2 linked regions of the Oryzias latipes genome follow. The protein of the gene in region 1 purifies or fractionates together with the protein of each later gene. This does not show direct contact. Links are inferred from orthologs where the notes say so. Each region holds a gene or a part of one and is shown in the gene's direction. Other genes may lie near its edges.

The links.
Region 2: the proteins of rab27b (region 1) and sytl4 purify together in Homo sapiens (co-immunoprecipitation; 3 studies listed by BioGRID and IntAct, counting the BioPlex papers as one, with this or other methods). This does not show direct contact. The link is inferred for Oryzias latipes from reciprocal best matches to the Homo sapiens genes RAB27B and SYTL4.

What each region holds. Positions count from the first base shown.
Region 1 is NC_019870.2:28,272,579-28,288,150, forward strand, and holds the start of rab27b (ras-related protein Rab-27B), read left to right. Parts: upstream 1-5,636; 5' UTR 5,637-5,895; intron 5,896-15,572. UniProt on the Homo sapiens protein: Small GTPase which cycles between active GTP-bound and inactive GDP-bound states. In its active state, binds to a variety of effector proteins to regulate homeostasis of late endocytic pathway, including endosomal positioning, maturation and secretion.
Region 2 is NC_019868.2:10,075,103-10,090,662, forward strand, and holds sytl4 (synaptotagmin-like protein 4), read left to right. Parts: upstream 1-1,920; 5' UTR 1,921-2,337; intron 2,338-3,109; 5' UTR 3,110-3,233; coding exon 3,234-3,346; intron 3,347-5,617; coding exon 5,618-5,833; intron 5,834-6,945; coding exon 6,946-7,055; intron 7,056-7,188; coding exon 7,189-7,285; intron 7,286-7,356; coding exon 7,357-7,542; intron 7,543-8,215; coding exon 8,216-8,330; intron 8,331-8,406; coding exon 8,407-8,497; intron 8,498-8,587; coding exon 8,588-8,667; intron 8,668-8,859; coding exon 8,860-8,952; intron 8,953-11,080; coding exon 11,081-11,259; intron 11,260-11,620; coding exon 11,621-11,723; intron 11,724-11,942; coding exon 11,943-12,104; intron 12,105-12,995; coding exon 12,996-13,101; intron 13,102-13,185; coding exon 13,186-13,294; intron 13,295-13,372; coding exon 13,373-13,581; intron 13,582-13,851; coding exon 13,852-14,000; 3' UTR 14,001-14,541; downstream 14,542-15,560. Other genes in the region: sushi repeat-containing protein SRPX2, read right to left, coding at 14,892-15,072. UniProt on the Homo sapiens protein: Modulates exocytosis of dense-core granules and secretion of hormones in the pancreas and the pituitary. Interacts with vesicles containing negatively charged phospholipids in a Ca(2+)-independent manner.

The sequences.
Region 1 (15,572 bases):
CTCTGAAGCTGAATGCCTCAGACTCACAAAGTCACTGCCACTCATGTCACAGGTAAGTCAGAGGCCTAAAGGAAATCTCATAGAGTTTGTCATAAGGTCCAATCGCTGCCTCAGTTTGTGATAACTGTGGTGACAAAGGATCCTCTAAAGCTGCAGGATTTTAAACAGAACCACTGACTGTTGAGACGTTTTTTCTTTACGACTTCAAAACCAACCAGTCGCTGAGAGGCTGATGCTGGGTCCGGGTTGAATGACGCGCTCAAAAACCAGGAAGCATAATGACGTTTGTATTATGAAGTTTTAATCCACTTGTTATATTGTGATCAAAAAAAGAGAACAAACAAAGAATTAAAAAAAGCACAAAAGTGAAAAAAAAGCCTAGAAAGCAGTCAACAAAAAATACGGCAACCCAGCTCCCCCCCCCCCCCCCCCCCTTCCATTTTACACAGGGAAAAACCACAGGCGAGTTAAAATCAATTAATGTCACCGCCCACAAACATGTGACCCACCAGCTGATTGCCTACTCAATGGCCTATAATCAAAACATAAACAAAAAATAAAATTCATTCACCCTAACAAAAACCCAAGTTAATTCATGGCACCTACAAAGACCATCTGTGGCCCCTGCAACAGACTGGTCACCCTTTCAGGGTGAACCTCACCTGACTGTAGCAGGGACAGGCTCCAGCAACCCTGTGACCCTGAGAGGGATTCAGAAGACGGATGGCTGGATGGATGGATCGTCTCTGGCATGAGTCAGTTTTCCTCTTCAGGGATCACCACAGCGAATCAGCTTCCTCCATCTAACCCAGTCTTCTGCTTGCTCTACTCCAACGCCAGCTACTTTCATGTCTTCCATCACTGCTGTCCTGGAACACTGCTTTGCAGTCACTGCCTCCTCTCCTTCTTCCACCAACTGTAGTCAAATTGTTGGTGGTCAGCACCGAAAGCAGGTGCTCTCTTCTTGAACCTACAGCCCATTTTTCTCTGGAGATGGCTCCAGTTCAGGTTCTGTGTCAGACCCTGACCCAGCCTCAGTTCTTTGGTGTCCCACCATCTAAGCACCAGCTTCTGGCTCACAAAACTTGTTCTTCACAGAAACCAGTTTTTTTGACGGCCACAGTGAAGAACCACTTCAGACCGATTACATCTGTGGTGAACTGTGGGGTTTACCTGGGTTAAACACTTGGCTGTGGATCCTGCCTCCGGCTCGTCTCGCGCCCCCGGTTGTCCCCCCAACTCCGTCTGGATGAAGTTCATCTGCTGGACTTTAACCCTTGTGGTATCTTAGATGACCCCACCCTTGCATTGACATGTTCTCCCTACCATGACAAAGGTGGATAAAGGTGGAAAGATTTCATGTAATCCATGGACACCAGTGAAGATCACAAATCATTGAAGAAAAAAGGTTCAGAGCACTGTCTAGTGGGTCTAGATGACCCCACTCCCAATGTCAACGTGCCTAGGATAGCACAAGGGTTACCCATGTAGTTGTAGATTTAGATAAGTTAATTCTTCTCTATGAGTTCTGGTACATCGCCTGTCCGTCCTGGGGGAGGATCCCTCCTTCATGTGGGCACCCCTGAGGTTTCTTTGTTTTTCCAGAATCCATTTTTTTTGGGAGTTTTTCCTGACCGCGAAGGGGGGTCTAAGAGCAGGGATGCCAGTTTCGTTTAGTTAGTTCAATTTAGCTTTTTCTGATTGAGTTCTATGTACTCATGATCCTTTTGATTTTATGTTTTACTCTTTCAATTACCGTTACAGAGCCAATCCAGACGACTGTTGTTGGGAATTTGGGCTATACAAATAAAATTGAATAGAAATGAATTTTTACATGAACAAAGTTGGCCTGAAGATGAGATGGAGTGGACTTTTGACCATGTGTGATGGTCAACGTAGACATCCAAGTTATAAACGACGACCTTGTTTATTTCCTCTTCCAGAGCTGTCCTACCCTCTTCCTCTCTGCAGACCACGGCGTGTCGGACGGTGCAGTAATGTGGTTCTGACTTAGGCTTGTGTCTGTGGAAAACAGGCTCTTTAGGAAGCTTGAGCAGATCCAGATAAGCACTGATCCGGAACCAAATGAACTTTCGTGAGAAAAGGATTTTTGAGTTCCGTTTGTGTAACCTGTCAGTGAGAGCCTCTCGCTTAAGGAGCTTCCTCAAACCCACGATAGTTCTTTGGGTTACAAAGAAAACAAAATCAAGATCATTCACCGTTTGCACCAAAATTCACAGGAACTTCCTTCGTCACTTTGCTGTTGGAACCGGTTCAGACTGTAATTTGTAGCAGTACGGTCACTCTGGACACTAAACTGTGATGGCGGGAAAAAAATGAAACACATAAACTTCCCAGATTGCTGTACAAAGCCACACACCCAGCAGCCGTCCAGCCTGGGCTGTTCTGGCTCTCTGCAGGTCCAGAGTTCATGCTGTGCAGGACACCTTTACTTCTGCAGCATTCCTCAACCACCATTACTGAATGTCTGCATCCTTTCTTCTTCTTCCTCTTTTCTTTTTGCTTTAACCCTTTCTGTAAGTCCTGACTAATTAAAAAGAGAACCCCCACCATTCTGAATCCACACTCATGTCTCTATGGCAGCATGAGGCGGTTTAGTCCTGACGGCGCCTTGATGTTTGGACACTCGAGGTCACACATGAGGCAGTTCTTTAACTCTCCCTGTGATCCACATCTGCAGCACGAACACTCCCAGCACGGAGCTGTGCTTCTCTTCACAATGCAGCATCGTACACATAACATGCCTGCAGAGATGCCTGGTTTCCATGACAACTAACATGGGAGCCAATAAGAATTGACTGAGTGATTAATTGGGGTTGAGTAGTAAGTTTTTCCACACGTTGTTTACTGTCAGTGAGTTCTTCTGGAGGTAAACACATCAATGAGGTGCTATTTTAGTTATTAGACCAATAGTAAATACTCGATTCTCATTGGCTGCTGGGTGTGCATTAAAAAGTGACAATGCACAGTGATGATGCACGCCTAAAAAATAAGTTCCGGTCACATAGCTTACATGTTCTGTATCACTGCGCCAGCTTCTTTAAAAATAAACTTTAGCTTCATTCTCTGGACAAAAACAAGCGGTAAGGGGTGAACTTTCTCTCTGAACTGATGCTTCATTTAACCCATCATGACCTTCAGCATTGATATATCGCTTTATACCGCCAGACCTTGACTGCAGCAGTGGTGTGGCGGGTTGTCACGTTACCGTGACAACGCACCACGTAACAAACACTCTGCTTTATGAGAAAGAAATTGATCCAAACTGTAATTCTGGACTTGCAGAATTCTGATAATGCACACTTGGGAGGCCAATGACCCTTACTCATCTCTGCGCACCAAAAAAGATCCATGTTTGCAATAATATCAACAATTCAAAGCAGAAAAGCAACACTTTGTTAGTTTCTTCCACGGGTTCCTGCTCTGACAGAATCCAACCCAACACTTCTTTTGTCTGAAACAAACCCTTCAGGATGAACGCTGAGCAAACCAGCACTTGACCCGCTGCAGAGAGGAAAGGATTCCAGCACAACATGCAAACCAGACTGTAATCTTTCTGTACTGGGCTGGTCTGAGCTCAGTTGCAGAAACAATGGAAGGGACAGTTAGAGAATCCAGACAGTGGGTCCTGCTCCTGAACTGCAGTAGCAAATGAATGTTCAGAAAAAGGAGCACAGCCACTGATGCTGCAGTTTGTCGTTCAGGATAATAAAACAAACATCTTCTCATTGAGCACACGCTTTTTCCAGGATGGTGCAATTTAAATTTGAATGTGATTTTACACTAAAATTCCGGATAGGTGTTCTTTATTTCCATGAATCTTTCTATTTTTCCTTTTGCTGTGAGCTCCAACACATTTAACCAGAGTTCATGGTGGAGTTTCCAACGTGAGACAATGGCTCTTTTCAAAGAAACAGGTTCCCGAGCTTTTAAATTTTTTCTGTTTCCTTGTTTCACTCAAGGTTGCAGGAATGAGTGAATCTAAAATGAGGTCACTGAGAAGAGCAGCATCCACTGAAGGCCTCCTGCAGGCTTTGACCATGCTGTGCAGATGCAGACAAGATGGATGTTTCCTGATTCATCCTTAATTACAGTCTTAGTGTTATTTTTTTGCATTGCATTTATCATGGACTTTGTTTCTAATTGTTGTTTTTGCGTGAAGTGAATTATTTAAATGATAAAACTCTTGGGTCTTATCTGCTGCTGCGTCTAAATGATTAAAAAAATTGCTAAATGTCAGAACCGTTGCTTTGAGCCTCCACCTGTTGAACTTACAGGTAAACTGAAAGTGGAGAAATATGGAGGACGTTATGACCCAGAAGAACATTTTCGACTTCAGTTTGTATCGTGGAACTGCAATTCTTTTCCTTTGGTGCATTCACTTACTGTGGGAATTACTAGTAAACTGCCATTTCTGATGCAAACATGCTTACTATACTGCACCATTATTGGCTTTAGCAAAAAATAAATAAATAAAATTAAATAAAAGTTTTCTCTTTGTTTTGGAAATTCTTTAATTGACATCCAGTTAGTTAGAGTTCAGGTGAAGGAGCTGCAACTACACTGTGGACATCCAGTCATATCAGTCCCATTTAAAGTAGACCCAAAGGAAAACATTACCTAATTTAAATATTTAATGTAATTCTAATATTTTCTTTACAAGGTTTTTCTCAATGTCAGATGACTGCAGTGTCTCGATCGATATATTGTAAATGTAAAATGTTCTGTAGAATTATTCAGATAGTATACTTTCTACACTATGCATCCATGGTCTGTAGTACACTATACTTATACTCAAGTATACTTAGAGAAATCAAGTGTGCTACATTTTGCTCAGGGTAGTGAAGTCATTTTACCAGTGAATACATTGTAGTCAGTCGTTTGTTTTGTGTCTTGAGAGAATTTCATGTCAGTAATGTCTTTGTCAGGACTTTAAAGCTCATTTTGTTCATGCAGTGACTCCGCTCTCCTCCTCAGTGTGCTCTGACTCCTTTTTTTTTTAAATAAACTTTATTGCACATTATGCCATTTTACAAGGATGTACTTTTAGGTATGCAATAAAAAACACAACTGCAAATATCAAATACACGTCTGTAACAAACAGAAGAACAAGAATAGAGATAGAAATAAATAAGCCAAGGGGTTAAACTCTACGAGAAAATACTGAATCTATCACATACAGACAATGTTCTGATTGCTTTTTGCTTCTCTGAATTTCGAATACTGTTGATATACTGATTTAATTCAGAAAGGAATACAGTGAGACAGGGTCTTCTACCATAAATTTTACTTTTATGAACATAGAATTTGGCCAAAATGAGTAACAAATTTTGCATATTTTTTGATATTAGACCCAACAAGACATCTTTCCAAAAAAGGACAAAACAAGAATCAATTTTATCATTAATAAAATCACACATCTTCTGCTAAAAAACCTTAACTTTGGGACAATACCAAAAAAGATGGATAACTGTTTCAGGGGGATTACAACCAAAACTACAGTGTGTCAATGTTTAATTTAAATCTGGTTTGAGTGTGCTCTGACTCCAAATTGAGAAAATTAGGGTAATCCCGCTCTCCGTGAGGTCCGTAAAAGCACCGCGGGCGTCACGCCCCCCCTCCCGGAGGAAGCAGAGCGGCGTCCATCGGACTGGTCGGCCTCTCAGAGGGACTCTCCCGCTTGTCGTCAGCCGGCACCCCCCTCCCTCCCTCCCGCGCCGTCTCAGCCCGGTGTGGGGGCCTGTGAGCGGACTCTGCCTCCGGTCTGGACCGGGGGGAGCGATGCGACGTCTCGGAGGCGGAGGAGAGGAGTCCGGGCAGCAGACGCAGCAGACGCCTGAGCGCATCTGAGGGGCTTCTTCTCGTCACAAAGCGGTGAGTCTCGCAGGAAAGCCGGTTGCGGGTTCGTGTCCGCAGCGCTCGGAGGTTCGGCGGCGGATCTCCGCGCTCCCCGTAGCAGCAGCAGCAGCAGCAGCAGCAGCAGCAGCAGCGGCGGGGATGAGTCATAGCCCGGCCGGCGCGGGGCTGCCGGACAGTCTGCAGCCGCGGCGCGTGCGAGGCGCGCCTCCTCTGCGCTCCGGCTTCTGCGGGAGCACGCGGTCTGCTGAGCGCGTGAGGACGCTGACGGGACTCAGGAACGGTTCTGGTTCCGGAGCGACTGCTGGCTCCAACAGTTGCAAACTTTGTGAGGGTGGGGGAGACGGAGGGAGTCTGGAGGAGAAGCTGCAGCAGAACTTCTCCTGGAGGAGAATCCTCAGCACCTCTAACTTTCTCACTCCTTGTCCTACCTGCGGTTCTGCCGAACTTCTGATCTAAAAGACAAAAAGGATCGGGCAATTCTTTACTGATATGTTGTAGACAGTCAAGTGAAGGATTCACTTGTCTTAATAAATAAGCAGGAAAAACTTTTCTTATCTCTGAAACAATGTTTTCATCATTCTGTCTCCTTCATTCAATGTTTCCTAGTAGGACATGACATGAGGGTCATACATTAGCTCACCGTTAAATCAGTCAAACATGGATTCTGTAGATTTTGTGATCAGGATTTGGACCAGTTTCCTATAAAAGGAAACTAAACATAGTTTCTACATAAATAAATGAAAAAAACACTGCTGCTGCTTGGAAACACATTTGCATTTGGGTCGCCTCCATATGGAAATCAGGTTTGCACAGTTTTGTCCCATCACAGGCCGGGATCTGGTATCAGCTCACATGCTGCCGTCCTCTCTGAGCTGCCGTACTTGTGGGGCTTTGGTGCCCACAACCCTTAACAAAAGCCTGCTGACACTCAAGTCTTTTTGTTGTTGTTGTTGTTGTTGTTGTTGTTGTTGTTGTTGGTGTTTTGCTTCCTACATCATATTAATGATTGGACGGTTGGCCAGTGCTTCCACACTTCGGCTGGAAAATACTGAAAATGGATAATAAGATGAATCCAAAGCAGGAAAGAGGGTGCCAGTCTGGAAACGGGTCACAGTGACACATCGCTCATCTGCAACCCAAAAGAATTAACCAACATTAACGCTTGTGCGGTCTTGTGGGGTCCAGATGACCCCCCCCCCTTCCATTGACATGTTCTCCCTACCATGACAAAGGTGGATAAAGGTGAAGAGATTTCATGTAATCCATGGACACCAGTGAAGATCACAAATCATTGAAGAAAAAAGGTTCAGAGCACTGTCTAGTGGGTCTAGATGACCCAACTCCCAACGCTCACACAAGGGTTACGAACTGAGCTTTATTATCCGAACTTTATCCGCATTATATGATAAAATTTGGATCTTATTTAGTCCTGTAAACTCATTTGTTGGATCCTCTGATCTAGGATAATAAGGATATGTGGAATATTCTGGAAAAGCACCTTAAGGATTGGAGAGGAGGGTTAAACCTGAATTATTCTGTGTTTTAGCACATAAAAACCTTGTTTACTGATGTGCTGGTCACTTTAGGAGTTTACAAATGTTCCTGCAGTTCTGTCTCCAGGTTGTAATGTGGTCCTCTAGAAATCTAAGCTCTGAATGACTAAAGTGGCTCAGATCAAAGCTCCACAAAAATAACCTTACCCAGAATAATTTGAATTTATTTAGAAATATCTTCTGGTTGTGTTCAGATTAACTTTGGTAGATCTTTGAAGGCGTTTAGGAAAAAGAGAAACACAGAAGCTAAGAAAGTTTCTAGACTTTTGGATATGAACTAAGAAAACTCCCTAAGTCAGGATATTGTTTGAACTCAGACATTTGGAGATGTTTAAGCTCCTTTCCACCGGATCTTTTGTAGAGCTGTAGATCATTAATAATAAATTCCAGAATGGATTCGATTCACAAGAGCCCGGATGATTCAGAATCTGTGGAGACGACAAGCTCATACAAATCCCATTTTTTTCTATTCTTTCGATCAACTCGATTCAATTTTGACTTTACACGATTGAATTTAAACATTTAGGTATGTTTGTATAGAAACGCATTAATATTCTAAATATGTTTTGAAGGTATTCATATTAATAGAACACAGTTCACATACTGTAAAATGTACGAGTGAAATAATGATCTAATGAGATTGTTAACATGCAGTGTTGCGTGTTTTTGAAGAACATTGTAAAGGCTCCAAACTCGCTCATGTTACAAAAATACATGTTTCGCTTCTCCTGGGGGGCTTTCAGTTAAACCACTAGGTGGCGCTCATGCTATAGCATTTCACTTTAGTCTAGAAGATTTGACCAAAAACAGTGATTGAGACCACAAATGGTTAATTTTTAAAAAATGTTTCCTTAAAATTTAAAGCGGTTTATTTAGTCAGCAATGTATGTTTAGGTCTACCGAGCGTTAGCATTAGCCGTCCTATGGGAAATTCCATTATACGTTAGCATCAAGCTAGCAGACTTTGGCTCTACTGCTGTTATGTATTAAATGAAAAGGAAAGGCATAAAAGATTCTCTACTTTAATGGATCGATTATTGATCCATTAAAGTAGAGATCGATTCAGATCAATTTATCAATTTTATCAACCGAACCCAAATCTTTTGGTCTACAAATTTAAACAAAGTTGTTTTTTCTGATAGTAGGCATTTTAAGTTAAAATGTCTGAAATATTTTCACTTTTAACTAGCGGTGTGACGATTAATCAAATTGATCGAAGAATCAATTTCTATTCCTGTTATTCGACCAGATCGGTCTGTCTGACACATCGAATCATTTTAAAATGTGAATGGATTTGACATTCATTCTAGTTTACTCGTTTGTTTGGACCCATATTTCATCTACACTTGATTATCTTAAAGAAACCCAAGGAATCTGGAAAACCTCACTGTTCAGAAGCAGGAATTTCTCTCTGAGTCACACTGGTGGAAGTTTGGATAAAGATGATCTGGATCCACTTTAGGTCGGTGAATCGGATCGTTCAAAAAGACTTGATATAGACGGAATCAAACCGTAAACCACAGATGAGTGATATGCATAGAATTGTTGTTAAAATGAATCGTTACAGAAATACTTTAAGGTTTGAATGATACTGTCTTTTCACATTAGCAGGCAAAGCCAGGAAGAATAAAAAATGGAATCTTTGAGTCTAATTTTAAGACACTGTAGATAAATGTGATCAAATAAATATGTGTTGATTGCTGCTCCCCCTGAAGGGTACATGGGGAGATGGGACACACCATTGGTGGAAGGAAAACTCCAGACTTTTCAACAGAGACGACATACTCATTCAAATCCCTTCTGATGGGAAAAGAACAGAAAAACACAGTTTTCCACGACCCTAAAAGAGACTCACTTACAGAGAATAACCCATGGAAGGAGTCTGAGAAGCTCAAACAGGCGAGCCCACACAAAGGCTCCTTCTTCCTCTGCTTTTCTATCAATCCTGGACTAAGACGTCGGCGTGTTTCTGGGCTTTGATTTTGAAAGAAGTAGCTGCTGCAGCTTGTTGACTTTGTAGATTTGTAGACTTTGAAGGAAACATCTTTGTTTTTCTTTTCACGCCAGTCTCTTCCTTAAATCTACATCCACGCATTCTGGAAAGAACAATTGGGGAAAAACTATCATGGCAACAGAGCTGTAGCTGAGTGAGTGGAAGAGTTTCGCCTGTGATAAGTTGATACAATAGACGTATAAACACAGGACAAAATGATAACTCCTGTCGCCTAAAAGACTCCAGATGCTGTCATTAATGGAAAAGAAAGCAGACGAACCAGTCTTTGAAACTAGACTGTTAATATTTTTATTTTTGGTGTAAAATTGTTTTCGTTAGCATAAGAGGTATTAGGGAAATGCTTTGGAAGCCAGCCCCTAGTGCCTTTTGAGGAACTGCAATGCTTTGTATTTCTAGATTTTAGTCAAATTTGGGAATTAAAAGTGAGAACTTGGTTCTAACAGATGTTGAGCTGAAATGAGAACAGCTGGGAATTCAGTGGTCCCTCGTACAGTCTGAGTTGTTCCATACATAACCTGCTGTAGGTGAAATCTGCAAAATAGGATTATAGATGTTTTAGGGCAGTTAAAGTCCTCACTACACACTTTATAGAGTTTTCTCAGACAGACAAACATTTTCACACTTTTTACTCTTTAATCAAAGTTTAAACCTTTATAGAAAAATATTTCCAGTATTGGAGAATGAAAACAAAGATTTGATTGCAATCAGATTTATGCAAATGTCACACGCTGCACATATTTGTACAGGAGACACGGCACGGAGGAGATTTATTGACAAGATCATCTGCCAAGCAGGACACAGAAATTTTGCACTTTCTAAAAAAAAAAACATGCAAAGTCGCGCTGAAAAAAAACCCACGAAGCAGCAATACTACAAAAGTTGGGCTGTGATAGGGGAAGGCATTTGCATTTGTTTGGTGTGTGTGCATTTGTGTGAATTTCAGCTCCTGCAGAGGTCCAGCCCCTCCACTGCTGCTGGCCCCCCCTCCAGTAGAGCTGATTTGAGGCTTTCATCCCACCAATCGCCAGGCTGGGAGGGAAGTTTAAAAGCTTCCAGAATCCCCTGCTCCAGTGGCGGCTGAATTCCTGGGAGGAATTTCTTTTTCAGCCGCTGCTGTCTGCCTGTGGAAGCCTGTGACCGCCTATAATTAGTTGTTTATTTTCAAGGGTCATAATTCCCCTGTTAGATTTAATCTTTGGTTGCATTTTGAGTAGTTGTTGTGTTTTGGTGACTGTGACGACGTTAATGACTACATGGTACAAAAATAAATGTTGTGCCTCTCCTGGAGGGCGTTTCAGTTTGGCCACTAGGTGGAGCTCACACTATAGCATTACACTTTATTCTAGAAGATTATAGCAAAAAACTGTGATTTGAATGGCGTAAATGGTGCTTTTCTACCTACAAGGCTCAAAACGCTTTACAGTTGCACACATATTCACACACTGGTGGCGGCTCCCCTGCCGAACACAGGCGCCCACCTACAACCAGAGGCAAGGTGGGGTTAGTGTCTTGCCCAAGGACGCATCGACTCATGGGTGTGCAAGGCGGGAATCAAACCTGCATCCTTACGATAATGGGTTGACCGCCCTTCTGCTGCATCACGGCCGCCCCACAATTTAGACCACAAATCTTTGCTTAAAACTCGTTAGAATTAGTTAGAATCAAGCTAGCAGACTTTGGATTTGCTGCTGTTATGCGTTAGGTCAACGGAAAAGGAAAGGTATAAAAGATCGATCTGTACTTTTATGGATCATTGATTTACTACGCTTGGATCAATTCATTGATCTTTATCAACCCAGACCTTGTTTTTAGTATCCTTGTTTTTTGTTTCACCCTAATAAACGTCTGTGTGGAATACTTACCCCCCAGTTTATTCAAATTCTTTGTTACTTCTGTTCTCCCTCCTCCCAGGTTAGAATCATAGCATAAGTGGGGGTAGGATCAGCTGTTACCTTGGGTGTCACTTGAGGGTCGATGTGCTGACATGTTCTTCCCTCTTGTTTCTGTACTTGGTACCCATTTCCTCCCTCCTCCCCAAAGAGGGATGCAACGACGACATATTCCCTCAATTTCCCCATTTTAGAAAAGTAACTGATGTTATTTGACATTGAATGGGCCCAGAACCAACCAACAAGTGGCGTCACACTCCCCTGTGTTCATTCCTTTAAACAGACTTTCAAACAGCTGGTAAAATTGGCCAACACCTGGAACACCTTGATCTGCTTTTGCAGTAAATGCAGCTGAAACCATCTTCAGAGGCGTTCATGTTGAAGCTCGGCGCAGTCATCAATTCTTATTAGCTCATTTTTAAAACCTTAGTAACCCCTACAGCTACAGCCACTACGGTCGCTCAAAGCGACAACATAAAGCGTTTCAATCATATGCAGGATGGAGGCATCGGTATCATCAGACGTTTGGATGATGCTTGTGTCAAAGCGGTTTGAACTGTGCTGGAAAAGCTGATAATTAATGAAGTCTCAGAGGTTTTATAGAAATGTGGGAACTCCTGAGGATAAGCCCGCTCTCTTCGTTCTTCCTTCCTTCCTTGTGTCTGGTTCTGTGTTGTTTGCTGAACCACAAAATGTTTTTAGCACTAAACATTTCAATTAGAATTTAAAGGTTTCCTGATTCCAGCCGTGTTGCGATAGGTTGTGATTCTGTTTGGGGGGAGAGGCTGAGTGTCATTTCTACATCAGTGCTTTTGGGACTGATCTGCAGTTATCATGGCGGCCCAGGAGATGATTCAGCAGTTGCCATGGTAAAACTGGTGAAACCTAAGGCACCGACCGCTGTGGTTTAACTGAGGAAACCTGCTGCACGTGTGCTCACGGCTTTGCTCTGATAATTCTGCATGACCTTTCGGCTTAAAGGTGGCCTTTCTAGCCAGTATGCCCTCTTCCTTTTGGCTCTCTCCATCCTCCGCTAACCCCCTGCTAGGTATTGACCGGCAACAGCAGGATTCAGCTTCCATAAGAGGATTAATACACAGAAAGTTTCCACACGGATGAGGACGACCGTCTGCAGTCACACTCCTTTCAAAGTCCCGTGTGGACTCTCAAGAGGACGTGCTGTCAGGAGAATTAACTTTCCGTTCCACTGAGATTTCTTGGCAGGAATAATATTGAGTTGAAGATCGAGAGCCGGCTCAGGCCAGAAAAAAAAACCAACCTGATTTTCTCTGAGCTCATAGATTCACTGGCAAACAGAAATCTGTCTGAGCCAAGAACAGTCTGGTTTTTTCATTAAATAACCCTCAAATAGTTCCAGGTTCTCAGCAAAGATCCTTTAAAAGAGAAAAAGAAATTGTCAGAGCTGCATATTTGCACATGCCAGTTAGCAGAAGATGGGTGTTTTTGAACATGTTTTTCTATTTCAACTTCAAATTGCCTGTCTGAGAACCGTACTGTTGTGAACCAGGAGCAAATAATAGAAAAATGCAGTTTGCAGAAGCTTGTATGTGCGACGTAGACGCTCCATTCTGATCATCCACCAGCAGACCAACAGATCCACGAACGTCTGTTTTCCTGGTCTGAGCTGGAATCTGGAGCTAAACTGTACGCCTGGATAGCTACGATATTGATCACCATTTTTGTTGCACCGCTAATGTTAGCCTGGGGGTTTGAGGGGTTGTAAGCTGGTGGGAGAGCTAGTAAAGACATGGGTGTAAGGAAGTGGGGGCAGGTTTACTGCAAACAAGCAGTCCTGCCTCAACTCAAAGGTGAATTTTTAACTGTTCTGCAGAAACTATGTCCTTGAAAACGACACGTTTAGTGATTTTTGGCAAAAAAACAACAAAAGAAAACCGCATAATCAGAATAAAAAAACCACTGGGTATGATTTAATTATAGATCAAAAGATGATCTATTGGAGTTTAAGCTATAAAATAAAGTGCACAAAGACAAATGCCAGATCAAGTTTAGGACTAAGACTTTGTTTTGCACATGCTCAGCCTCTCCCTATGTTTTTTCAGGTTCCATGAAACGTAAAAGAGTAGAAGTCTGTTGGCTTTTGCCTTGTTTGCAAGTCTCACCAAACATCTTTCAGAAGATCTTTCAGCTTTTTGACAAACTCCTGAGATCCCAATTTCAGCCTGGCTGAGGCCCACATTAGTTTTATTTGGAAAATGTCATGGATTCTCCCATCATTTATACATTTAGCTTTCATTATTCACTGAAGACGTCCATTCTGCTTGTTCTTATTTATCTATGATTCAGCTGCAGCATGAAACTGTCCACAGTCATGTTTGTGGTATTTGGGCCATCAATGTCACCATGGTGATAGTCTGGCCTTAGGATTTATGTCATGGATTCTGTACGTTTATTCATCCGTCACTTCCAGAAAAGCCATAAGCCATAATATTTTCAGCGAACCTTTCCCCTTCTCAAATAAACATGACCGGTGAGAGCTGTTTGAATGCACCGTAGGACTGAACTTAGGCCACTTGATCTGCATGTGTTGTCATGAAGCCATAGAAACCACTTTGAGATGAGGACCGCCTGTCTCACTGTCCCACACCGTAAAGAGGACGGGTCGTTCTTGACCCTGTGTACACAATCGTTTGGGATTGTTGTTGTGAGACAGAACTCTAGTGCTTTTCTAGAGAGGAAATGACTTTCCTCACAGCAATAATGATGGATAATTAGGCAGTTTGATGTTCATCCTTACAAAAACCAAACCAAGTCGTCTGCAGTGTGATGATTAGACGCTGTCTGACACTTTGACTGTGGGGAAGCACACAACTCGTGTGATGCTAAAAGACGTGCCTAACCCTAACCCTAAAATACAGCTGCATTTATGAACTGTGCTCATTTTTAAATGAACTTATAAATGTCAGAAACTTTTGTGTTGTGTGTAAAGCTCTCCTACAGTAGAAACTCACAGCGTGAAAAGATGTTTACTACAATGCTTTTAAATGGGTATTTTTCTAGTAAAATGCTTTATACTAGAACTTTAACATGTGCTGTACTTTGTTTTTTGGAGTGCAAGTTGCGTTTTTTTTGTGCATAGTTTAGCTAAGGGGTGCAACTGACATGCTTTTGATAAATAGCAACGATCGTTTGAGGACATTGTAGGCGTCTGTATCAGTATTTGTTACTGACAGCACCGCAGAACAAGAAGCATCTGTGATGATCACAGCTGGCAGCTGCCCCCCCCCCTGTGCATTCACCTGGTTTCACAGCTGTTTTCAGTTCTGATTATGTGTCAGGTATGTAAGTTCCTGTTTTTGTGTTTTTCAGTGTAGCAGAGTCCTGTTTGTTTGCAACTGGATGTTTGACTTCTGTGAATCTGAGTAAATCTGTGACCGTCTACTTTTGGTTTCGAGTCATTCCTGCGTTTGGGTTCCTCTGGTCTTGAGTCGTTACAGCATCGCCTAGTTTTATGGCTGGCTTGGCGGAATTGTTCTGAAGTGACACAAAGGATGAAGAAGTGATTTGAAATGATGTAGAGTTTAGATGCCCTGTTAGCATGTTTCTGTTATTGTTATAGAAATAATTGTTCATATGATATTCAGGATTCCTCCTATGTTTCATGAAGTTGAATAAGCGTCAGTGTGCATACATTCAGTCTGTTATTGTTATTTATTCAGTAATTTGCTTTTCAAGATGAAGTTGCCGTTCTTGGTCAAGTATTTTGTTAAATACATTTCTCCCAAAAGTGCGACTTGTACTCCAGTGATACTTGTATTTGATTGTGTTTATTTATTTTTCCTCTTAGTTATGCAGTGAAAGAATATAATATCCTTGCATATTTATCTTCTGCTTTAAACAATTTAGCGGAGAGAAATAAGAGCAAGCTGAAAAATGCAAAAATATTTTCATTAATTAACATTCTCCTCTGTATCCAGCAGAAGAAAATATACATCAGAAAATAAAAAGTACACTTCAGACAGAAAAGTGACAGTTTAAATCACTCACTCCTCAAGCAACATTAAGTCTATTGTCTCTTTTCAGTCAATCAGTTTAGTCTGCAGTGATTTATAATCTGAAAAATATATTAATCTCAAGCATTTTGCTTGTTTGGTCATATTTTGCTCTTTCTTTTGCTTCAGAAGTTTTAAAAAGTTCAGCTAATTTTACTGGAATTAGTGAGATGGATCAGTGAAACTTTTCATGACTTAATCCAAA
Region 2 (15,560 bases), on another chromosome or scaffold:
TGTGATAGTCCAACATGTTCCCTTTTCTCTTGATTTGTATCCACTGTGTGTGTTTGTACTGCTTCTGTAAAGACTCATATGTGTTTTAATCAGAACATTTATGTAGTTTTACCTGCAAAGTCTAGATTCAGTTAAAGTATCAAACACGTGGTTTCCCTTGTTTATGATCAAACAACCACAATACTAAGCTATCCTATAGAACCTATATTAATGATAACCGATCAATAATATTTATATATGCTGACACTCACATAGGAATCAAGCCAGTTATTAAACGATTATTGGGCCTTTTTCTACATTACTGCTTCACTTTTGCTGTGTTGTATCCTTTTTGAATTACTAATGTGTGCTTTTATGTGTACTTTGTAGGTTATGTTTAGGGTCATCTGGATTTTAACACCCAAATGTTTTTTAACTTGTTAAAAAAAAACTTAAAATCCCACTCCGATAATCCTTTGATCTAAATTCAAAGCGTTCCCAGTGTTTTTAATTAGGGTGATCCCGTTTTTTGCCTAAATCACAAGTTCTGTTTCCTAGAACATAGTTTCTGCAGGAGTTTTATCGGGAATTCACCTCTAAGTTATAGACTGGACCGTTGGTGCAATGTGAGCCTTCCCACACTCCCATCATCCATCTGTTTACACTCTGTCACAGCCCCTCACACCTCCAACTGCTGTGACCAAAATGGCGAGCAAATTTGGAGCTATCCAGCCACAAACAAAGATGTACATGCATCTAGTCATTTACAAGTGGATGTATCAGAATGGAGCAGGGCCGGGAATTTGCCAACTACCTACATCACTGCTACAAGCTTTTCCAACAAGATTTTTTTCGTCTGCTCCTAATTCACAATTTAACTTTTTTTTAAATACTCAGAATCACAAATTTTAAGCGTAATTTTCTTTATATAGAGTGAAGACCGAAAGTTTGGACACACTTTGTGTGTACAGTCCAAACCTTTGGTCTACATCCTCCATCATGAGAAAAATGCTACCAGAAAATTTTAAAAACACCCAAAATGTAATTTTCATTGAAGTGGGTAATAATTGTTTATATTTTGCGCAAATATACTGGATTCCTTTTATGTTTCACGAAGCTAAATAAACATCAATATGTTACAATAATGAAGAGTGTAATCAGAATAAAATAATCTATTCTGTTATGATTTCAAAATAACATGGCCATGCTTGTTCCTGTATTTTGTTACGTTTCTCAAAGAAGAGCAGCTTATCCTGAACTGTGACTTATTTATAATTTTTGTTCCTTCTTTATCGTCCACTTTTTGGCTGCTGCAGCTTGTACTCCAGAACAATTTGTAGCCTGAAAAATACACTATATTTAAACCAAATTAGAACTGTATTTTTGTACAATAAGCAAAGAGTTTCTTTCTTTGTCAGGAGGTGCTAAGGACTAGTGGTCTTAAAACTCAGCAATTAAAGCACCACATTATTATGCTGCGTCTATTAGCAGGAACAGTCATGTTAATTTTTAATGTGAAATCATGGAAAACATACAAATGAGTGGGGAAGTGATTCACAGGAGCATCACAACCATTCAACACACTTATTTCCAAGCGTTATGTGATGTCTAACAACAATTTAAAACATCTAAAAAGTAAATAAATGACTAGTTGGTTTTTAAGTGGGGCAGCAGAGTTTTAACTGTAAAGGAGCAGTGTTTACTTAATGGTGCGTTAATCCCCCAAACACGCCTCAACAAATAATAATGGCACCTTCCAAAGAAAGAGCGACAAGAATGGCCTGTTCCGACTTAGAAAAAAAAAACACGTTTTACTTTAAAACTCTTGTTCGCTCTGGGTTAACGCATTTAAAGCTAAAAATAAAAGTTTTCCAAGTTTGGTCACACATAAAGGGGGGGGGGGTGATACCAATCAAGCTGGTGTTCGTGACTTTTCCACATTCTCTGATCAACAGTTAAGGAAACGCGTCTGTCGTGGAAAAGCGCTCGCGCCCGCCTGCTGCTGGGAACTTTCCTTTCATCTTCCGGTACTTGTTGGGACTCCTGCGGCGCCGCGCGCACCGAACTCCCTGCTCCCGGAGGCGAGGAGACAACCTGGCTGGAAGGGGGTATGGTTGTAGAAGAAGAGGAGGAGCGCTGTGCTGTAGTTTGTGGTAGCTCCACGACACTTGAGTGCAGGATTAGCATGTGCGCCGCTGTTTGCTGCGGTTTCTGTCGGTCGCGGTGAAGCAGAGCCGTCGAGCTTCTTCTTCACGCACGCAGGTGTGCGTTTCCTCTCAATTAGCCTGAGTGTGGACTCATTGACGCGGTGGCAGTCCGCAGAGGTCCTTCACTTCAGCGACCGCCCTGAAGAACAACGTAGGTTATCAAGTATTTTAAATGTTTTATCGACGTTTACCCTATTTAGCCTCAGCAACTCGTTGAAAATCACATCAAACGATGCTTTTTTTTCATTAGTCGAAATATCAATTCTGTTTTAATTTGTGATTATTATCAAAACTAATTATTATTTAGAAGGTAGCCATTCGCAAACATTTGTCATTTTCAGTTGAAAAATAAAATATGGCCTCAATAATGTGTTTTTAAAAACTCGTTTGAATTTTAGTGTTATTTCCTGTTCAATTGTAAGTTGCCCTCCTCCTCCTGCTGTCCTGCTGGTACATTATTATTTTTAGTGAGGCTCAGGCATTCAGAAAACGAGGAAAAAGCCTTTCCAGTCTGTGTCTTTGCCTATTCACTGTAAATTAGTTTATACATCTATATGAGTTTTAACTGACACCATAACAGATGATCACTGTCAGATGAAGATTAAATAAATAAACTGCTGAACTCCACCCTGTCATCTCTCTGCTGGAGGGTGGGAACCAGGCATGACATTCATGTTGTTTTACCATGGTTGACTTTAAACGACCTCACTCCCCGTCAGAGGCACTCTGGTGGATTTTTAGACGCCCCTACATGCTGGATCTGTATTCCCACCCATCAGGGAATAGTTGATAGTTTGCTTTACAGCTGCAGATTTATGTCTCATGTCATGTGAAAATGTTAATTTCTTGGCAAACGTATTTTAACCTTTAAAGGAGGTCTACTTGAATATGTGACTTTATATTTTTTGGGTTTGTTCTGCAAGGCTAAACACAGATTCAGCTTTTGCTGTCTTCCCAAACTGTGGCTTCCTCTTCATGGATCTTGTCTCAGTGGAACGGCTTTAGCCTTAAACCAGTTTATCCACACGGTTCCTAATTGAAATCGCCATGGCTCTGGAAATGATCAATCTGAGCTTCTTGTCCGACTTGGAGCGGGAGAAGATCCTGGAAGTGCTGAAACGGGACGAGGAGCTGAGGCTCACGGAGGAGCGGCGTGTACGGTAAGAAAACAGAAACTCTTATTCGTTTTTACAGTTTCTATAATCTGAAACATTTAACACATGTAAATATTTTAAGGCATGACTAGGACTGAGCATCACTGCCAAAAATACTGAACTGATTTGACATCGCTTCGATAACTTTTGACTTGATTTTGAATTTGATGCGATTTGATTTAATACTTATTAATCAAATTTCTATATAACCCAATTTTGTTTAGTTTTTAAAAAGTTTTCACACAACAACTGATATAAACTAAACAAATATGGAACTTTTATTACTAAAAATTCTCACATTTAAAACGTTTGAAAGCACTTTTTTGTTAGAAAAACAAGTGTAAGAAATTATTAGAAGACCCACTCTAATGGAAATAGATTAATGAACATCTTCATTTTTGTTTTTTTTACATTTTCTTGGAGCATTGTTCTTATGATGGAGGCATATGTGAAGGAAATTAGGATTAAAGTTTCTTTATTCAAATCAATGTAATTCAGGAGCAGAAGAACAAACACTGTTTGAAAGAGCTTGTCATTGCAGCTCTCCTCCGCTCCATTCCAGTGCATCCACTTGTAGACAATTATATCCATTAACGTCTTTTCGTAGCACCAGTAAAGTTAGGTTGAGGTTGTGAAGGGCTGTAAGCCAGTGGGAGAGAGTGTGAACAGAAGAGGTGATGGGAAATGAGTGAAGGCTTACTATCCACCAAGAGTCTAACCCACAACTCAGAGGTGAATTTCTAATAAACTACTGCCGCGCTGCAGAAAAAATGTCCTATAAAAAGTCTTTTTTTTAGATTGTTTTATCTAAAAATATAAATAATATTAATTATAAGACCTCTGGGAACACTTTTACAATAGATCAAAAGATGATTGGAGGGGAACTTTAACTGAAAACTTTTTTCTAAAGTAAAAAAATAAGATCAATTTGGTGTTAAGAGATACTTTTTTTTAACCCTTCAGCTCTTGGATTTCCTAGAGAATTTGGATTTTATGAAGTTATTTATTTAAATAATAACACTGACATGTTTATTGTTTCATCTATGCCAGAAAGTGTAGTAAATGTACTTGGAAAGCGTCTTCTTCATCCTGGATAAATGGCTTTAGCTCTTTGCTGATTTTAGGATAATTCTTTTAAAGACATTGGCATGATTGATGCTTGTTTGAATTAATTGTTCCTGAGCAGGTTCTCCTGCATTTTAGTTAGTATGGTGTTTCTTCAAGTAACCTGTTGCTTTATTATTCAAAGATTTAAGACTTCCAGGTTTTTACCACTATCAGGATCTGGGATTTAACCAAACTATCTCCAGATCTCAGCCCAGTTTTCCAGCTACAATATGATTCACTATGTCGTACCAGGGTATATCACCATGGTAACTTCTGCTGCACACATACTCACCTCCACAGCGGATCTGGGCTTGTCCAGAGTGAAGAAAGAAGCACATTTAAATTTAGAAATGCCTTCTTCTTAGCTTCTCCTCCGGGCTACAGATGTAGAAACTATCTGGGATTTATCTGGATTATATTTTGAAATTTTTCAATTTTTTTAAGAAATCGTTTCTCTGGTTTCAAATATCTTTTTTGTCATTAAATAAAACATTGAAGCCCTTTTTTTAAAACCCATAAAAGTTTTTAGATGTGCTTTGAGTGAGTCTTGGAGCAGTAGAATTTATATTTTTAAAGACCCACTGCGATCATCTTTTGATCCATTGTAAAAGCGTTTGTGAATTTGCCTGAGAGGTGTGGGTGGGACCATTGATGCAGAGTTACCCCCGCCCCCTTCCCATCACCTATAACTGAGCTGTTTACACACTCTCCTGGGTGCTACCTAACATTAGCTCTGCAACAAAAATGCTGAGCAATATTGGAGCTATTCAGCTGTGCAGTTTTGAGTCCGATGTCAGCTCAGACGAGGAAACCAAGACGTACATCTTTTCATCTATAAGTGGATGCAAAAGAACGGAGCGGATCAAGAAGCTTGTGACTCGCCATGTGTTTTCTCTACATCACAATGAGCTCTTTTCCAACAGCACTTTTTTCATCTGCTCCTGATTCCCAATGATTAGAATAAAGAAATACTCTGAAATTCCATTTTTAAACTGAGTTTTATGCATATATGTCCTCCATCATTCGAAAAATACCACAAGAACATGTTAAAAACACCAAAAACCGAATTTCTAACAGTGTAAGTCTTAAGAAGTTGACATGTATGCCTGTAATTGGTTTGTAAAAGTCTTTGTGTGTTGACGGTGCTGTGATCTGTGCTTTTGCTCTCAGGAAGCTGAAGACGGAGCTATTGGAAGTAAAGAGGAAAGGGGCCAAACGTAGCAGTGGAAAGTACAGCGAACACAGCTGTGGCAGATGCCAGGAACCTCTAAGTCGGCTGGCAGTTTTTAACAGCCAGTGTAAGATCTGCAAACACAACGTGTGCCGCAACTGCCAAGCAGTCCTGCCTGACGGGTCGTGGTTCTGCACCGTGTGTGTCAAAGAATCGTAAGATCAATGTCCCTCAACATACTCAAATTCCTTACTGTTTGTGACTCCTATAGTAGCTTTTTTTCCCTGCTCAGTTCTCTGCACAAGTTTCACGCTGTCCGGTTATGGCAGCTATGGGCAGAAGGGGATGAACAGTTGGTGTTTTTGCCAAAAAAATAAGTCAAATCTTTAACAAAGCACCTTTTGATTTTACAAATAAAATTAAATATAATATATTGAGTTAAAAGTTGACTCAATTTTAACAGTTGCAGTCTGCTTTAATTTCATTATGTCCTTTTATACATAGTTATATCTATGATTTGTGCTGGATTGGATTAAGTGGGGTCATTTTTTTATCTGTCTGTACTTTTTTTTTACTTTAACTTCTCTGAAATCTTAATTCAATTAGACAAAAAAAAGCTTGAGAATGGTTTGCACATCTTCAATGAGCTGCACACAATGGCAAAGGTTTTTGTCGAATTAGTTTTGGTCAGAAATATTTCCCATATTGGGACCTTTTATACTGTAGAAGAAATCAGTCATTTTTACTGTCTGCTGAAAGATAAATCAATTTGTGTCAGTGCATATTTTATGTCTCATGCACTTGCTGGACCTCACAAACAATGCCTAAAAGGTTTTTGCAGTCATCAAACAGGTTTTCTGACTGATAGTGCACCGAGGATGGCATGTGGAAGGCATTTCTTTGTTTTGGTATCTGTACTCTGTAAACCTGTGGTATGAACAGTGCTAGATCTTTCATAACTTATCTCACATCTGAACACAGAAATGTATTAGTGCTCACTTGTCTTGCAGTTGGAACTTGTGCTTCAACTTAAAAAGAAAGAATGTAAAACACACATTGGGCTTTTTACTGGTACAGGTAGAGAAAATGCTGCAGAGTATTCATTCTTTACAGATTTTAACAATTGGAAACAAAAGGTTAAACACTCCACAACTTTCCCTTTTTCTTTTCATTTTTTTAGTTTAACACCAACTATTTCTACTTTCTGATCTTAATGCTTCATAGTGACCTCTCAATTATGTATCAATATCTACAACACCATAATTAGTTTTATACAAGCTCTGTTTATTGTGGATCTTTTTAATAAGCTAAATGTGTGGAATTCCAGGGATGTGAAGAAAAGAACAGGCGACTGGTTTTATGATCAAAGGGCCAACCGCTTTTCCATGACTCCTGCACTTGACCTCGTGAGAGCTTCCCTGAAAAAGAGGCCGCAATGTGAGTCCAGGAGCCGGAAGTGCTCGCCAGCCCACTGTTATGAAAACATGTGGTAAAGTGATAGATTTATTCCACTTTATTGAAAGTACAATTGTGAACATGTCTTGTCGTTTGTTGCTGTGTGTTGTTTCAGTTAAAAAGCGTGTTACGACTGGGCAAGGGCTTCTAGAGAGTACTGAGAAAAATCCAGATCCACCCAAACCCATTCCTGTTCCCAGACAGAAGAAAAGGTGCTGCTTCTTCTTTATCAGGCTCTCGAGAAAAAGAAATGTTTCAACTTTCTTTATGTTCTCCTCAACAGCAATTCGAGCGAGACGCTTGGATCCATCGCTTCCAGGGAGTCAAGTGAATCAAAGACCAGCGTTTCATCAAAAACAAGTTTTTCTTCCAAGCCAAGTCGCAGCGACACGGAGTCTGCAGAAAACCGCAGTGTCACCAGCATCAGAACTGATACAGAATCTGGTTGTGTGACTCCTGAGGAGACAGGGTAAACTCAGATTTAATAACCATATTCAGCCTTTTCATCACTTCTCACTGTAATTACATTGTTTTTCCTTCAACTAATATTTGGTTTGGTTTAAAGCCAAATGTGAGACACAAATTTAGGCAAGGCAAGTTTATTTTTATAGCACAATTCGTACACAAAGTAATTCAAGGTGCTTCACAAAACAGAAAAATGCATTAAAATCAAAATACATCATAGAAATAATCAACGTAAAATTTACTTTAAAAAAAAAAAAGAAAAAAAATTGAAAATTGATTTAAAAAGAAAGGAAGGAAATGAAAGAAAAGTGCAGATAGGACCTTTCAGTCATATACACGGCTAAACAGAAACGTTTTAAGTCTAGATTTGAACATGAAGACAGAAGAGGCCTGTCTTACGACTTCAGGGAGGCTGTTCCAGATTTTAGCTGCAGAATATTGAAACGCTGATTTCCCTTGTTTAGTTCTGACTCTTGGAATCAACAATTTAAGCTTAAGACCCAAACAAACTTTCCTGAGACGTCCCAACTTTACGTTGATTTCATTAAATTATTAATTAAACTGTCATATAATTACAGCAGAGATGGTAAAGATGTCATGCTTTTTAAATGGGTTATAAAAGAGATTTTGTATATTTTTTTAATTTCATGTTATTGATCATTTATTCTGTAAATCAGAGAACTGCAGCGGTCCAACGCCTCCAGCCCAACACCATCCAGGGCTCCCAGTTTGTCTGTCCCAGTTACAGCAGATGCCGTCAGCACTGACAGCAGCAACTCCAATCCTATAGCTGTAAGAAAAGCTTTTAGTATATATTATTAATTAATTTCTCCTCTACTGTAGTTATATTATTTTCCTTCAATTGTAGTTGGTTGAAGAAAAGCCAGTCAGTTTGAGCCCTGAGCTGGATGTTGAAAAACTCTTCAAGAAGAGCATGAAGCGAACTCAAACACCTGCAGGTCTGTATATCTATTTCAACATGTGTGGCCAAATTACAAAATGAACATTTTTTTATTGATCTTTCTTTTTTGGGGGGTTTGCATCAACAGTGGACTCTATGGATGGATGTCGCAACCCGGAGGCCTCAATGGGAAAGAGGAGCCGCTCCGTTCCAGGCTTAGATTTACAGGTGGACATGTAGAAAAAGGAAACAGCGCTTCATTTCCAGCAGATATATTTCTGAAACGTTGTTTTGTTCTTCTTTTGACCACCGTTTTTATTTGTTTCTTTAAGTAGTTTTCCTTTTTTTATTTAAGGCTTACTTTTGCTAGGGTAAAATGCCACCGTTATTCGTTTAGTTTAGTTTGTTTGTTTTCCACAGGAGGATGAGGAGGAGGAAGAAGATATTGACACCTTGGTAAACTTTCACAAAAAACAAATGACTAAAAGTCACTCCAACCTCTACAACTCAAAGGTAACGCCACTTAAGTTTCTCCCAGCTCGTAAAGTTGCAGGTTTGAAAGTTAATCTGTTGACAACATTTGTCTATTTTGAAATCTTAAAAGTCAGCGGCCTGCCTGTGGAATTTACAATAATATTTTTGGGAACAGTTGTGTGGTATTACTTTTTCAACAGATCAACAGTTTAGCTTATTGGATGCAATAGCTTTATTTAATCTTTAAGCATTTTCGTAAATATTGTTTTAAATTATTGTCTAAAAGTGAACTTTTTCAGTTTTGGAGACAAAGGCTACGTTCACACTGCAGGGCTTAATGCTCAATTCCGATTTTTTGAAAAAATCCGAATTGTTTGCTAGACCGTTCACATTTCCAAGTAAATCCGAACTTTTGTGATCTACAGTGTGACCGTGAAACAACCCAGAGTTGACCCGCATGCGCAGAAGAGTACTCGACGTCGAATGACGTCACTCGTTGTTTGCAGAAGTAGCTTACGTTAACATGGATGTCAACAACAGTGTTGTCAACAGCAGAGCTCTTTTTTCATTAATAAATTTATTTTCACAAAGGAGCCAGCACAATAACAATCTTCCCATTTTTAAGAAGGCATTGGAGGCGGGATCGTCTGTAACCACTTTTGTGGAATGTATTGGGCCCACGCGCGCGCGCGGTTGTGTAAGGGACAGGAAAAGAGCGCGTGCAGTGGGAGAGAATGGGGGGGGCGGCAGTGTGGGCGCGCATTCATGTTGTGTGTTACGGAGGAAGGACAACGGTAATAAAAGGAGGTTTCCCCCAGAATTAATGCTATGGACTCTTTATTAACCCATTCCGGAGAATCCTGGAGAATCTATGGGTCAGAACAGGGAGGAGGAGGAGGATCCGCCTTGGGTCCCCCGCGCTTCTGACCACGGTCGGGTAGGGGAGAAAGGAAAAAAAAAAAGTACTCGCGAGAAAATGTTCAACACCACGCTCGGCCATTTAGCTGTTAATTTTTTTTTAAAAACCGCCCGGTTGCGATAAGAGCCCTGGAGTTTGGCCTGAAAAGTGCTGTCACCCCAAATATTAATACAATCGGGGACGTTGCTTCCCTTCCACTGACTGGTCTCTGCAGCATCGTCCGCCGTGGTTGCTGTTTACGTTCTCGTTCCCGCCTATTTCAACGCAGAATGATGACGTTTGTTGCGTATCGATGACGTACGATTCGGATTTAGGTGGCCTGGCCAGTCAGACGGCAGTCGCAATTGAAAAGATCGGATACGTTTCGGATTCAGGACGGCAAACCCAAGTGGCCTGGGTCGCATTTGAAAAGATCGGATCTGTGTCATTCAGACTGTCATGAAAAGATCGGAATTGGGTCGCATAGGGGCAAAAAAATCAGAATTGGGTCGTTTCAGCCTGCAGTGTGAACGTAGCCAAAGACGATTGATCAGAAACTACTAAACGAAGTCAGGCAGGGACCTCATATCAGGAGAGATAATGAGGTTTGTCAGAAGTAGACAGCATCCCACTTTGTTTAGAAACATTAAATACACATAAGATAAAGGCACCAAGGCACAGTCCTTAGATGAGAGCTGCTGGGCAATGCAGTGGGGAGTTGAGGCTCACTTTAGCCAATGGCTTGTCTGCATGTAGACTAACAGAAAAGCTTCAATCTGAGCGAACTTGCTTTGCTAAAAGCTGTTCATGCAAAAGCATCAAGTACACAAATCTAAATCATCCAGAAAACCTCATGGAGATTCTTTTAAGCATAGCAAACATTTACAAAAACAGTTCATCCAGATTTTGCTGAAGGCGTTTCTGCAGGAAATAAACTATGAGGTATGCTATAATTTTTGCTTGCCGCTTCTACATTTTTCATAGTTTTTTCTTTTTTTCAGGAAATGAGCGTAGTAATCTATTATTATCTGTTCATAGGAATATCTGATAAAACCCTATAGATTTAAAGATGGTGAAGAAATTGAAATATTTAAATGATTGTAATAAACATGTAGACGAGATGTTGAAAGCGCTTAGTGTTTTTTTTTTTTTGGGTACATTTAAATGATTTTTTGTCTGTCATGCTAAGATTGTATCTAATTCTTTTTCTAGCTAAAGTCTGCTCAAGTCTTAGCATTGACAAAGATGGTTCCCCTTTTGTTCACCCAGAGCTCGCTAGGCAGCACGATGAGTATTTACAGCGATGCAGGAGACTATGGCACCGTGGAGGTGAGCGGGCAGGTTGTCTTTGCTCTGCGATACGACGAGCACACCCAGAGCTTGCAGGTTTTCATCAAGGAGTGCCAGGGTCTGGCTCACGGTGACGCCTCACGGAAGCTGTCCAACCCGTAAATATTCTACTCCTTCCAGAGATAGCTGTAACAGGAAGCTGCTGAATGTCGAAAGCAGACCTTACTGAGATTTTTCACATCATGCCGCTGTGCTGGTTGTGTGTTTTTAAAAAGCAAAAAACCCACACATTTTCAAGTAAAAACACACCCCCAAGTAATGTTAGCACAGCTTTGATCAGTGCAGATAAGGGGCTGTGTTTACAGTCTGCATGCTTGCATCCCAGGGGTGATTAGCAAAGCTTCACAGGAAGTTAAACGTCAACAGAAATTCTTTCTCAGCACTTAGTCAGGAAATGCTGCAGAAGATTAGCGATCATGTTGAGGAGAAGCTTTCTCTGACCTGCTCTCTTTTTTTCAGTTATGTAAAATGTTATCTGCTCCACGGCAAAACTCGCCAAAACAAGAAGAAGACCAGTATCAAGAAAAACACCATCAACCCTGTTTTCAGTGAAACTCTAAAGGTGATTGGCTAACCCTGACCTCCAAATCTCCAAATAAATAAACTGAAGTCACTTTAATGCATAGACTGATAAAAAAATAAATAAATTAAAAAGTCAATGGAATGTGAAACCATCAATATGCATCCTCTAATAAGTTTGAATCCCAGTCCTGATTAATTTAAACTGGCTTGGGTTTGTTTGAGCCTTCAATCATGGATGTTGTTTTTTTTTTTTCAACAGTACTCCATGAGCCGCTCTGAACTGCTCGGCCAATCTGTGTCGATATCCGTTTGGCATCATGGCCGCCTCAGCCGTAACGTCTTCCTGGGGGAGGTGACAATCCCTTTGGACAGTGCAAACCTGGACACTCCTCATGAAGAATGTTTGCACCTCATGGGGAAGGTGGGTCAGACTCTACACGTTTATTACTAACCAAGTTGTCTTTTCTTTTTACTTTTAAAATGGAAGCTGTGCAAACAGAGCTGTGATCCCCTCCTAATGTTCAGAGTATAGAAAAGGCAGTCAGAGGATTTCCCAACCTTATCTAAAATACAGTGGTCCCTTGCTAGAACGCGGTTCACCTATCACAGTTTTGCTGTGTGTTTGCAGTACAGAATAAATTAAGCTTATAAAGATGATCTTTGGTTTCATTCTACAACCTAACTCCCTTGATAAATGAAAGAACACTGTACACTGTACTTGTCATTTTAATTTGAAAGACCTTTTTATTAAGATCTGGAAAAAATAACTTTTAATCTGGAGTAAACTTTGAAGTAAAGAGTTGCGCTGTCTGTATTTTGTTAAAAAATTAGGAGTGTGTGAGACAACAAGTGTATTTTACGAAAGATTACAAATGTAATTCAGTTAAATTTAGATTCTTTGTCTGTAAATTAAACATTATTATTATTGATCATAATGGATTTGGTCCCTAAATAACTGTGTATCTGTTTGTTTCAGGGCAGAGGAATTTACAGGCCTGTCAGTCTATACCAAAAAGTTTTTTTTCAGCAGAACAAGTCTTAGTATTATTCAGATTAGAATGTTCAATGTGTGATTCAATGCAACATCTGATAAGTGTAACAAAATCTAAAACAACTTAATAAAATATCATCAGAGAAGTTAAATCAGTTTTACCTTGTAGAAGAAACTGTTTCTACTGAGCAGCAGTGGACAGAATTTGTTATGGTGTCATTCAAACAGACGTGGATTTGTCAGCCCAAGTGATCCTTTGATGGCGTTTGTCACCATTCTGATGTTTCTACTGCTTCGTAATGATGTTTTCTTCTCTAACAGATGAGCTCTGATGTACCAGATGCAGCCTTTGAACGGTGCAGTGGAGAGTTGGTCATCTCACTGAAGTATGTCCCTCCCAATAAGACTACCACTGAAAAAGTGAAAGGTATTTTGAAAACATGTATTTTCTGTCTTTTTATTTTATTAAAGCTTTTACCCCTTTTTTTCAAGTATTTAAATTTTCCTTCAGGCAAAAAAGCTGCACAAGTCCAAAGAGGAGAGCTGCATGTTCTCATCAAGGAGGCAAAAAATCTGAAGTCAGGAAAATCTGGAAGCACATCAGACAGTTTTGTTAGAGGGTAAAGGATGGAGTCTGCTTTGGAACATCTCTTTTTGTTTGTTGTTGCTCAACTAACATGGTGTGTGTGGCTCTACAGTCACTTGTTTCCATCAAAGGCAAAGACGGCGAAGATGAAGACTCCAGTGGTGAAGAAGAACCTGAATCCCCACTATGATTCCACATTTGTGTATAAGGAGCTGACTCTGGAGCAGATGAAGGACATGTGTTTGGAGCTGACAGTGTGGGACAAAGAGGCCGTGCTGAACAATGAATTACTGGGAGGTGTCCGCCTCAGCTCTGGCAACGGTATAAACATAACACTCTTATCGCCTCAATGAGGAAAAAGTTTGAGGACGCTCCACAGCATTTCAGCAAATACAGAGACAAACGCTCACAGAGACACAGGAGCGGTGACTTTATTAAGACAAAAATGATAAAATGTTAAATACTTTTTAAAAATGTATTGTTTACACATTATCTTTAGTTCCTGTTCTGTGGATAGTAAAGTTTTTCCAATTCTTGTGTGAGCACAAGAGTAGAAAATGCATTCCTTCAATATTACCTTCCTCTCTGCAGGAGCTATCAAAGTTGGGAAAGAGGAGGTGGAGTTGGACTCTGTTGGAGAGGAAGTCAGTCTGTGGCAGAAGATGATGCAGTACCCTGACTCGTGGGCAGAGGGCACTCTTCCTCTGCGCTCCACCATGGCAAAGACAAAGGGGAAATGAAGGCTGAACACTAAGAGATCCAGACACTAAAGTGATGAGAAGTGAAAAGTGCAGAAACTGAGACCAAATTGATGTTCTGGCTTTCTTCCAGCTTTCATGCCAACCAGCCACCGCCACTGTTGGATATGCTGAGTTAAGACCTACCTCTCTGTAGGTTCCATGACTTCAGACTGTTGAGAAACGTGCCAAAGCATCACCACACTCAGTTTATTTCTGTTTTTAAAATCCAGATTGTGTTTGTTAAAGTTTCCAAACTTTAGATCCACTTTGCCTCACTGCTTCTTTTTATTGTATCCAGAACACAGAACAGTTCTCTCTCTCTATGCTGTAACCGAACTGTGCCTTTGTTCAATCCAACACAATTGCACTTTAGGACTGACGTGAATGATCTGTGTATATAAATAAGTTGAATTAAAGCCAGTAAATGAAACTCTTGATTTTAAATGTACATTTGATCTCTTAAGCTCGTCTTTACAATGTGATGGAGGTCACACTGACCTCAAAGATTTGTTCACCCAATAAAAGGGACAGAGTAAATGCACTAGCAGAGTCGTGTTCACTCCCACCTGAAAATGTTTGTCCTTTTCTGTTTTTGTGTTGAATCCTGAAGAGTTTTTAACTTCTGACATGTGAGAGTCGCTGGACGACTTTAGTAAAAATGGCTGTTTTTACATATTTGATCAGTCATCAAGTGTAAATTATAAAAATCCAATATCTCAGCATATTTTAATCGTTTTCTTCATATGAATCTCCCTCAGTATTTGCTCTTCTGTGTTTTGTGATCACATTGAATCAGAAAAGCCCGTTTATTCTTTAAATATTTTTTACAAATCTATCTTTGGATCTGGGTTTTGGTTGTCAGTCCTCCTCCTCAGCCTGAGAACTCTGAATTTAGTCACAGAAGTCTCTGTGGAGGTCCAGCCTCTCGCGTTCCTCCTCATCCAGCAGGAAGCTGTCTATGTAGGAGAACAGCTCCTCCTGAGATACGGGAGTAATGAAGCGTTCACGGTCCAGCCCCCGCTCATCCAGCAGCACCATGCTGAAGTAGGTTCTGGAGATTCTGAAGGCTTGCCTGAAGAGAGAATACAAGCAGTTTTAAGACCAGCACAGTTCATTGCCTTAAATGTGATTACAGAAAAAAAGCTTTTATTAGGAAAGAAAAAAACTTCAAAACCTCTCAGCTAGGAATTGGAAACTGACTCTGGAGCAACAAACAAAAGTGGAATTGGAAACTTTTGTTTTCAATTCCACTTTTGTTTGTTGCTCCAGAGTCAGTTTCCAATTCCTGGTGGATTAACAGGAAATTTGACTTCCAAAGAGCCAGATTTCAGCAAAGATCTGCTTGGGAGAGAGAATTTTGTTCTAGCTAAAACAGCAGGATACCATTGGAGATGTTTGTGGAAGGTCATCCTTTTAAAAGCAGAACATTTGGTATCAAGATGATCAAATAGTTCACATTCCTCCACTCTACACTGAGACCGTCTGTGGGGGATCTGTTATGCTTCAGTGCAGAGGCAGAGATTCAGGTCACAAAGAGATCAGATGGATTTCTGCTTCAAA